Oryctolagus cuniculus: one gene and its partners. The protein of the gene in region 1 purifies or fractionates together with the protein of each later gene. This does not show direct contact. Links are inferred from orthologs where the notes say so. Each region holds a gene or a part of one and is shown in the gene's direction. Other genes may lie near its edges. The genes, in order: SINHCAF, SAP30L and ARID4A.

What was found.
Region 2: the proteins of SINHCAF (region 1) and SAP30L purify together in Homo sapiens (affinity purification with mass spectrometry; 3 studies listed by BioGRID and IntAct, counting the BioPlex papers as one, with this or other methods). This does not show direct contact. The link is inferred for Oryctolagus cuniculus from reciprocal best matches to the Homo sapiens genes SINHCAF and SAP30L.
Region 3: the proteins of SINHCAF (region 1) and ARID4A purify together in Homo sapiens (affinity purification with mass spectrometry; 3 studies listed by BioGRID and IntAct, counting the BioPlex papers as one, with this or other methods). This does not show direct contact. The link is inferred for Oryctolagus cuniculus from reciprocal best matches to the Homo sapiens genes SINHCAF and ARID4A.

What each region holds. Positions count from the first base shown.
Region 1 is NC_091440.1:127,574,980-127,578,119, reverse strand, and holds the end of SINHCAF (SIN3-HDAC complex-associated factor), read left to right. Parts: intron 1-409; coding exon 410-572; 3' UTR 573-2,585; downstream 2,586-3,140. UniProt on the Homo sapiens protein: Subunit of the Sin3 deacetylase complex (Sin3/HDAC), this subunit is important for the repression of genes encoding components of the TGF-beta signaling pathway.
Region 2 is NC_091437.1:41,395,613-41,399,263, forward strand, and holds the start of SAP30L (histone deacetylase complex subunit SAP30L), read left to right. Parts: upstream 1-721; 5' UTR 722-1,345; coding exon 1,346-1,573; intron 1,574-3,651.
Region 3 is NC_091443.1:18,443,833-18,447,581, reverse strand, and holds part of ARID4A (AT-rich interactive domain-containing protein 4A), read left to right. Parts: intron 1-2,096; coding exon 2,097-2,200; 3' UTR 2,201-3,749.

The sequences.
Region 1 (3,140 bases):
CAGTCATGTTGAAGGTGTTCCTGTATCCCAGCTCTGCAGCTTAGAAAAAAACATTTTTGTTTACTCAGTGTTTAAGCACAGTAAAGCGACCTGCTGGGTCCACCTGTTCCTGGGGGGCTGGTTTTCTGTAGGAGTTGGTGAGTTTTGGAGAAAAGTTAACAGCTTGAGTGGCAGCTGAAGATGGCTGCTGTGTGTCAAACTCTCTCCGTCCTCCTTCCTCCTGGAGATGACTCCAGGGCAGGCCTGGAGGGGGTCTGGGAGGCCCCCGTCCCCTGGCTGACAGGGGTAGGGTGGGAGGACTGGGACGCCATGCTCCCGCTGGTCGGGTTACGAGGAGGAGGAGGAGGAGGAGATGCTGTTTCCCCTGGCCCCCTTGTTGATGTGTCTGCGTCTCTTTCCCTCCTCTTAGGCAGAAGATCTGCTGTGGGATCATCTACAAGGGGCGTTTTGGGGAAGTGCTCATCGACACGCACCTCTTCAAGCCTTGCTGCAACAGCAAGAAGCCGGCCGCTGAGCCCTCGCCGGCGCCCCAGGGCCCCGAGCCGCTGCCCAGGGCCCCTCAGGAGTGGTGACCGCCGCCCACGGCCCGGCGGCAGAGCAGCAGAGATTCTGCGAAGACCACGAAGCGACAAACTGACCCTCTTAACGTTTTCACTCGGATACCTGCTATTCTGCCAAAAGACAATTCCTAGACTAGTTCTGAATGGGTTCTTCCCCAGGTCCACACGTTCTGAAGCCAGTGTCTCGCTTCCTGAAAGAAAGAATGCGTGTACATAATATTGAAGATGCTGAGGATCTCATAGGAAGGCTGAATGCTGCTGTAAAGTGCTCTTTAAGTCTTTTTTTTTTTTTTTAATTAAATCCCCTTCTAATGAATGGAATTAGGGGAATTTCAGGGGACAGAGATGGGATCTGTTGTATGATAAGCCGTATGTAGTTGTAGTCTTTCTGTACTGAGAAGCAGTGGTTGGGGCAGTTTCTCATTGGCTGGCGGCCCTTGTTTTCCCTCTCGACAGCAAATTGGTGGTAACCCGGTTACAGGACCGACCCCTGGCGCTGGAATCCTGAGGTCCGGCCCAGGATCTGGGGGCTCAAACCCGTACTACTGACGACAAAGCGGGAGCGCGTCCCGGGCAGGAGACGGTAACTTCTCAGCGGAGAGAGAGGTCACTTAGCTGTATGTGTTGCATCCATGTCACCTCCCTCATGTTCATGTTTTGTCCAGGTTTTAATTTCCGCGAGGTCCCACAGCGGAGGCAGAGCTCCGCCCCGGGGAACACGGATCCCGGGTTAAACAGGCTCAGCTGGTTGAGAAACAGCGGGAAGGCACGCTGCTCTGGGGGCTCGCCTTGGGGGCTGGGGGCTACTTCGCTGCCAGTCCGGGCCGTTCCATTCGCCCCTGGCTTTTATCTCCTGTGACCTTTGCGAAGGTTTTTCCAGAGTTGAGCCGGCGTCTAACTTCTTGTAGCTGCCTAGGGCTTCTGGTTTTTTTGTTTTTTTTCTCATTATAATTAACGTAAAATTGAGTAAAAGGACAGAGGCGTGCGTGAATACTAAGATTGGCTTTGCTTTGACTTTTTAGTCTGGCTTTCTGGATCTCCAGATGTGACCGTAGGCCCTCCACTTGTGAGATCCTGGTCTTTGTAATTTTTTTTTTTTTTTTTTTTTGACAGGCAGAGTGGACAGTGAGAGAGAGAGAGAGAGAAAGGTCTTCCTTTTGCCGTTGGTTCACCCTCCAATCCTGGTCTCCCATGGGGTGCAGGGCCCAAGCACCTGGGCCATCCTCCACTGCACTCCCTGGCCACAGGAGAGAGCTGGCCTGGAAGAGGGGCAACTGGGAAAGAATCCAGCGCCCCGACCGGGACTAGAACCCGGTGTGCCGGCACCGCAAGGCAGAGGATTAGCCTAGTGAGCCGTGGCGCCGGCCAAGAGATCCTCAGTTTTAAAGCTTCTCACTTGTATCCACGCCAAAGTGTTCTCATTGCCTCTTTTCTAGAAGTCCAGGAAAAACAAAAAGCCCTGTCCGGACGCCCCCCCTGCAGAAGGAGCATCACACTTACGGTGCCGCGACTTGGCGCTTAATTTTAGAACTGGAGTTTGAGGTTTTGGGTAGCCTAACCGAGGAGTGAGCCCTGTAGTCTGCTAGCTCTTGTCTGAACATAACAGGTTGCATTTCTCCCTTGTGGGAAAAAGCCTGCCTGCTCCCGACCCCACACACCCCCGACTCCCCCTGCCTCAAAAGGGGACGCAAGGGTCCAGCTGTTATCATCCTCCATCCTGAGTTACTTCGAAATGGCTTTGTTGTTTTTCTTTTTTTGTACATGTTGGTTGCAGTACTGGTGGTAGAATATACTATAACGTGGGTCATCTCTACTTCTGTATTTATTTATTTATTGCTAGACCTCAGCCACCGTCTTCTCCCCCGCCCCCTCTCTGCCTGTAGGACGTACTGTGTGTAGTCATGCACTTTGTATTAATATATTAGACATCTACAGATCTGTTTTGTACTTTTTATACTGTTGGATACTTATAATCAAAACTTTTACTAGGGTATTGAATAAATTTAGTCTTAATAGAAAATAAAAGGGAGCTGTCTCATGGCTTTGTTCTCAGAGGTTTTTGGTAAGCAACCAGTGGTCTTGCTTTCACAAAACATCCAGCTGAGTCCTCAGTATTATCAAAGCCAGGAAGAGGAAAAAACCTCTTGGCCCACGAAAATAAAGACTTTAGAATAAAGGACATTTTACCCAAGGTGCACTGCTGTTAGCCCAGTGATATGACAGTTTGAACAAGGATGAAGCAAGCTTCCCGGGAATGTCTGTGCTGTGGATTTGCTGTTGTCTGGGATTTGATTTTCTTATTGGCAGACTGGGGAGCCTCACTGAGACTTCAGGGACCTTCATTTTATTTATTTTTCATGTTTTATTTGAAAGGCAAAGACAGACAAGATCCTTTGTCCACCAGTTCACTCCCCAGATGCCTCCAGTAGCTAGAGCTGGGCCAGGCCAAAGCCAGGAACCAGGAACCCAAGCACTTGAGCTGTCACCTGTTGCCTCTCAAGGGTATGCATTAGTAAGTAGGAAGCTGGCTCCGAGGCAGAGGAGCCAGGACTAGAACCAGGCTTGTTCAAACCGTCTTTA
Region 2 (3,651 bases), on another chromosome or scaffold:
GGACCTTACCCGGATTGCAGGTTCTTTCCCGTAGAGGGGTCGCCCAAGCCCCCGGGGCCCTCCTTCCTCCCGCCCGTTTTCTTTCCGTGCCGTCCCAGCCAATCTCCACAGTCTCACGTCTCCGGCACCCCCAAGATCCCGACAAGATCGCCCCCCTCATCTCCTTGGTATCTCTTTCCATGTATCTGTTCGGGGCTGTCCCTCTGTCTTTCCCGCCATGACTGGCTTCTGTCCTGTTTTGTCCTCGCCTCCTCACCCCCACGTCGGTCTGGGGGACTCTGGCCCCGGCCCTGTCGTTGTGCCCTGTAGGTTCCTCTCGTGACAGGACCGCTATCCCCTTTAGGTCTCCTCGCACACGCCCCTCCCCCAAGCCTGTCCCTCTGCGCCCCCGCCCGCGTCTGTACTTCTGTCGGCTTCCGAATACATTCCGCTGCTCTCGGAGTCTTGCCCTCCGTCCCTCCCGACCCTTGGTCATCATTCCTCCCTGGGGCTGGGCAATCTGCGCCCTAGTTCCCCTCCCTCGCCCGAGGAACTCTTCCCTCTTCCACTTTCTCTACTTTGAACCCATCCCAGCAGAGTCCAGGAAGTAGCCTGGCGCCGGAGACTGGCGGCAGTGGTGCCCAATGGAGCGCGCCAGCGGCGGCGACGACCCCGCCCTGAGAGCGAATGCGACCAATAGGCGTGCGGAGGCAGGACTTCCGCTGTCCCGAAGAGGGCGGGGGGGAGAGAACTGTTGTGGTGCGGCGCGTTGGGCGGGCGGCGGCCGGGCCGCCCAGGGGCTGCCGCGGGACTCGGGGAGCAGCCGAGAGGCTGCAGGGGTGGGGCGGGCCGGACGCGGCGCGGGGGGCCCGGGCGCCGCGGGTTCGAGGCCGGGCCCCGCGCGGGGAGGCCGCGCCACCAGGGGAGAGCTGCCCAGCAGCGAGTTTGCCCCGCTGCCCAAAGAAGGCGGGAGCCGGCAGGGGCCTTCGAAACCCCCTGGCAACCCCGGCCCGGAGTCCCTGGGGAGCGGCCGCTTCCTGGGACGCCCTCCCGGACGCCCGCGCCTCAGGGTAGCGGTTCTGAGCTCCCAGCAAGAGGGGCCTCCGGGTGACCCCCAGCGGGGCCCTGCGAGCCGCGGGAGTCGACCCCGGGGCCTCTGGCCAGGAGGAAGGGGGTTTCCGTAGACTCGGGGCCGAGAGCTGCAGGAGCAGGGCCTCTGGGACGCGGGGCAGGGCAGCCCTGGTCTGGAGACGGACTCTGGGACTCTCGGGTGCGGGGGTCTCGGCGACCTGCTCCGCAGGGAGCGCGGCCGCGGAGTGGCCTGCAGGGGGCCCTGCCCCCAGAGGGGCCGACGCGGGGCGGGGAGATGAACGGCTTCAGCACCGAGGAGGACAGCCGCGAAGGGCCCCCAGCCTCCGCCGCCAACGCCGCCGCTGCCGCCGCCGCCGCCGCCGCCGCCCCGGGCTACGGCCAGAGCTGCTGCCTCATCGAGGACGGCGAGCGCTGCGTCCGGCCCGCGGGCAACGCCTCCTTCAGCAAGAGGGTGCAGAAGAGCATCTCGCAGAAGAAACTCAAGCTGGACATCGACAAGAGCGTGAGTCCGCGCCCTGCCGCTCGCTGTGTGCTGCCCCGGGCCGCGGCCGGGACGCCCCGGGCGCTCCCCACCGCCGGCCTCGCCGCCCCTCATCTGCCAGCCCGAGGAGCTGGCCGCGGGATTTCGGAGGCCGCTGAAGCGCGGACCTGCCCTGGCTGTGATTCTGTTGAGATCCGGGAGGTTGGGGGCGGGGGGTGCGAGGACTCCTCCTGCCGGGGAAGATTGGACAGCAGTTTCTAGCTCGTTTTATTGGCTCAGATGTTCGAGCAGGAGGAGGTGGGTTAATTTTGTTGGCCCACGAAGGTGCAAGAATCGGGGAGGGGGTGATGAAGGGACCCGGCTGTTGGCCAACTTCTGGCTCCTTCTAAGAACGCTGCTGTTTCTTCAGACTGGGAGAGGTGGCAGCAGCGACTTCCCTGTCCCCCGCGGCCTCCTTTTCCGCAGAGGATCGCCTCTCAGGCTACGACTCTGGGAGTGGGTGTTTCCAGGATATGGCAGGAATAAGGCCACGACCAGGTCTTAGGAGATGGCACTGACAGTCAAGTCACTGGGAGTGGGCGGGGGAGGGGGCGAGGTGGGGAGATTCGGTTTCCTTGGGGTAGCGCCTTTAGGAATGCGGAGGTGGGAAATGGAGATTGAAATTTGAATAGGCTTGCCCTGCCTTGTGCCTAATTATAGGAAACTTTTCCTCTGTGATTTCACCACTTCTAGTTAACAATTCTAAAGCTGTGCCTATTGTCAACCAATTAAGAACTTTTTGGTTTGACATCTGTTGCTGCAAGCCTTAAGTGGCTGCGGCTGCTTCTTGTTTAGGAATTGGAAATGAGTTAAGGGGGTTTTAACATGCAGGTAGACTAGCTAAGAGCTTAGGTGGTTAATATCCGTTCTCTTTTGGGGCCAGAATTCCTCTACAGTTCAGGGAAATCAGAGACGGTTTGTTAAAATTAGAGGAAGCCCGTTTTTCCACTTCAGATTTTATTGTTGACACTGAAACCCAGATACAGGAAGGGTTGGTGCCAAATACACAGAGCACCACAGAGGCTGGTTTGTATCTTAAATACATTATCTAGTTTACTTCCAAGCCCCATGTGCACTTCTTCAGTAAGTCTTTTTTTTTTTTTAAGATTTATTTATTTTATTTGAAATACGGAGTTAGAGGCAGAAACAGAGAAAGGGAGAGAGGTCTTCCATCTGCTGGTTCACAACCCAAATGGCCACAACAGCCAGAGTTGGGCTAATCCGAAGCCAAGAGCTTCTTCGATGTCTCCCACAGAGGTACAAGGGCCTAAGCACTTGGGCCATCCTCCGCTGCTTTCCAAGGCTGCAGAAGAGAGCAGGATCAGAAGTGGAGCAGCCCGGACTCAACTAATGCCCATATGGGATGCCGGCACTGCAGGCAGAGGCTTTACCTGCTAAGCCACTGTGCCGGCTGTTAAGTCTTTCATAAAAAGTCTTCCCTATCCTTTCTTCTAGGCCTTTCCCTCCCTCCCTCTAATATATTTAATGTTTGTCATTATAATGCATCTGCTGCTGGGGTAAGTTAATGGCTTTCTTATTATAAATCTGAATGAATGAAAGATACTCATTTTGGAACAAAGGACTGACTAGACACCTTGGTGGTGCCTGATTAGGTCAAGTGTCAGTGAAATGCTTAATTGTGGGACAGCAGTGAATTCATCCATTTGGAAATACTCCCTGTCTTCTCTATAGATGTTAGAAGCTTTTACCTAAGCAACTTATAATATTACCCAGTCCTTAAAAAAAAAAAGAAAGATATGCCTTCACACCTGATTTTGCTCCTGCAGCTAGGGCTCTGTTAAGCTATTGACCCCACTGGAAAACCTGTGTTGATCATTGCACAGGCGCCCTCCAGGAGAGAGGCAAGCCTCAGCTTAGCACTAGCCTTCCCAGAAGGTAATGCTTCGAAGGAACAGAGTTCTCAGGTGGAGTCACTACAATTGGTTTCAAGATGGTGTTGTGGAGTCATTATTTCTGAAAGCGATTCTATTTCATTCTCACAGGCTTGGGCAGGAATTCAATTCCAAGTAAATGCTGTGTTATGAGAATTTTTCGCTGTT
Region 3 (3,749 bases), on another chromosome or scaffold:
TGTCAGATTTTTCAGTACTGGTGCTAGGAACTAGGAGGCAACATGGATCCAGCAAGCAAGGAAGATAATGAAGGGGACTGACTCTCAAGGTGACGGTTAATAAGAGCTGTGGGGTAACACTCGCATGGCAGGAATAGGGAGAAACAGGATAGAAGGGCTCCAGGAAGGCTGTCTCTGAAAAAAATGGAAGGGCCTTGGCCACTGTGGCCATCTGGGGAGTGAACCAACAAATGGAAGGCCTCTCTCTCCCTGTCTCCCCCAAGCCCCCATCTCTCTAACTCTTAAATTAAAAAAATCTTTTTAGAAAGATGATGACAGGGCTGGTGGGCATTTGGCCTAGCTGTTGAAAGTGGTTAGAGAACCTGCATCCCATATAGGATGCCTGGGTTTGACCCCTAGTACCAGCTCCTGTTTCCAGCTTCCTACTAATGCAGACCCCGGGAAGCAGCCGTGATAACTCAAGTGGTTTGGTTCCTGCCACCCACCTGGGAGACCTGGATTGAATTCCCGAATTGCAGCTTGGGCTTCCCAGCCCTGGCCATTGTGGGCATTTGGGGAATGTGGGGAATGATCCAACAGATGGGAGCTGGAATACATGCGTTCGTTCGTTCTCTCTCTCTCTCTCTCTCTCTCTCTCTCTCTCTCTCTCTCTCTAATACATAAAAGGTAAATTGCTTGACAGGCCTAACCAGGCGTATTTCGGGGATGAGTTACTGATAGAGTGACATGTAGCAGATGTGGTCTTCAATCATTCTACTACACATCCAGTGGTCTTTATTTAATTGCAAGAAATAAGATGGAGCAGATAAAAAATGATCAGGCGTCCCATGTTTGTCCTTTACAAGTTTTTGTTTGTTTTTTAAATAACCAGAAGTCTTCCTAGGACTTTTAAACACAAAAAAGAAGAAAAGAGCAAATTAACAAATTGAGATTTCTTCAGAGAATCCTCAACTGCTTTGGGGTTTATTTCTTTAAAGTTTTAGACAACAAAAAGCGTTCTTCTAATAGGCTTCCTCTTTTGGTTTCCTTTTTTGTAGTGGATGTTACATTGAAAGAGTTCTAGCATACGTATAGGAATTTGTCTTCTTGGAAGCCACACCCACAGATATACATCAACAAAGTTAAAACTTTACATAACTGGGAATGTTTGAGTAAAGATTGACAAGAGACAGGAGTGTGTTTTGAGGAAAGACAAGATAAGGGGTGGTTCTGTGGCATAGTAGGCTAAGCCTCCACCTGCGGTGCCAGCATCCCACATGGGCACCGGTTCTACTCCCAGCTGCTCCTATTCCAAACCAGCTCTTTGCTGTGGCCTGGGAAGGCAGTGCAAGATGGCCCAGGTAATTGGGCCCTGCACCGGTGTGGGAGACCCAGAAGAAGCTCCTGACTCCTGGCTTCGGATCAGCCCAGCTCCAGCTGTTGCAGCCATTTGTAGAGTGAACTAGAGGGTGGAAGACTTCTGTCTCTCCCTCTTTCTTGTCTCTAATTCTGCCTGTCAAATAAAATCTTTAAGAAAAAAAAATGATAAAAGCAGAAACTACAAAATGACAAAGTCCACAACACATAAACCCTTAGCCTGTGTTACTATTCCTGGGGAGTTACGGTAGACTTTTCAGGACTTTTTTCCTAGCCACGCACATGCACCTCCATCCTGACCACCATGGTTCCGATTCCTGACAGCAGGGGGGTTTGTCTGGGTGCATTGAGCACTCTTGGGGCCTGTGACCTCAACATAGTCAGACATTCCCTGTCGTGAGAATCTATCTCAGCTTGACCTTGTTTCTGACTTGCGGCAAGCCAGGTTCCTCACTGGGATTTTCCAAGTTGGGATTTCAGAGTTTATTGCTCTTTAAGCTTCACATTTTACAGTGTTTTTAAATTTCTTTTTTAACTTTTAAGTTGTTTAATGGAGCAAAGATGAATTGCATGCTATTGAGCCAATCAAAATGTTTGCCGAAACTTTGCTTATTTCTCATGCAACATTTAGGAGGCCCATGATTGAAATGAATGTTAAGAATTTTGTTTCCTAGTTGCTGTTGGTTAGGCATCTTGGTGTAATGGATTTTGAATCTAACACGGTTGTTTTGCTTCCACAGTGTCTCATACAGGAGCCTCCATGTCATCTGCTTCATCAGACACTGGAATGAGTCCCTCATCCTCATCACCCCCACAAAATGTACTTGCTGTAGAGTGCAGGTGATAAATGTTTCCTCTGCCTTCCCAGCTGCCATGGACATAAATCCCCAAACCCTGAGACACAACCACAGAAAGCACTCAACTGGTTTGACATTGCTAAGTATCTCCTCTATATTCTTCCAGGCTGGATCGTACCTAGTCCCTTCTTATTTCCTTTTTTCTTGTTGAAAACAAATAAGCAGATGAATAATCGAAGGTTAGGCAGCCTGCCATATTTGTCATAACTTTTCCTCTTTCTTTTTTTTTTCATTTTTTGTGATAGAGAAAAAAGGGCACTTAGCAAATTTGAATTTGTATAATAAAGCTTTCAGGTGTTATAGAAATCATAGACAAGCAAGTGCACATGATAAACATCAAAATATTATCCAGCTGAGTAGTTACCGTTGCACTTTCACTGAGATGTGTTTGAACACTTGGTGAGTAGGGGGTTTATGTTGTATTTTTTTGTTGTTGTTTTTATTTTTGTGGAAGCACTTGCTATTTAGAACTGCCAAAGTATATGTTCAGCAGTGTGCCCAGGTTTAAAGATGTAAATGGGACAAAATAAATTGTGAAAGGAAGTGTAGTTGACTGAAAACTACAGTTGTAATAAGTCTTCCACTTTTTATAGGATTTTTGAGCACACAATTATGCAAATATTTTAATGTTTATTAATGTTTACAGTGGAATTGTGAATAAGTTTTCAGTGGACTATCTTATCCCTTGACAAAAATATTTTGTCTTTTTTCTATGTAATTTCAGAGTTTTTATTTTGTTACAAAAAGACAAAAATGAAATATATAACAACAATGAAGTTATTTAACAAGATTTCTAAAGCTGAAAATTTTGTGTAAAATAAGGTATTATCTTGCAACTTGTTAAATATATTTATTCAGACATTGGATGTTGTATTTTTATGTATTTTTTAAAATATTAATAAAATTGAAAAAAAGAAAATTCTAGGTTAATTCACTCTTTGGATGGCAGTAGCTCTCAGCTGTCCCTGGCCTGGTTGAAGGGAGTCTGTCTCAGTCCTTCAAACAGTAGAGAACTATGAATGGGCATCTGGATCAGTAAAGCATGTCCTTGTTTAGAGACTTTGGCAGTCCTAGTATTTAAACTGTTTTGAGGATCAAATTTTTGGTTGCCCTTAAGATACTTTGTCACAGTTTTTATGTTTGCTGTACTGCCGAATAAATTTATATCTCCCAAAGTTGAGATGCAACAACTAAGTAAAGCAACTATGTATGCTTCGTCTGTGAATTGTTCCACAGACTGATACATTTTGTAAATAATTCTTCCAAAATCATGTATTTAAGCAGTTTTGCATATATCTTATGTAAAAAAAAGTGATTTTTTAAAAGCGATTTTTAAATTCATGTTTGTACATTGAAGGGGTTTTTTTTTAAACCTCCTTTTCTGTGTTTAATATGCTGTAGAGTAATAATCTAGATGCTCTAGACTGTATATCAGGATCTGATTTACAAGAACAAAGTCAGAGCTAAACACTAGTGATGACATAGCATTACTGAAATCATTGTTTCTTAATTTCATTTTACCACATTGTGAATTTG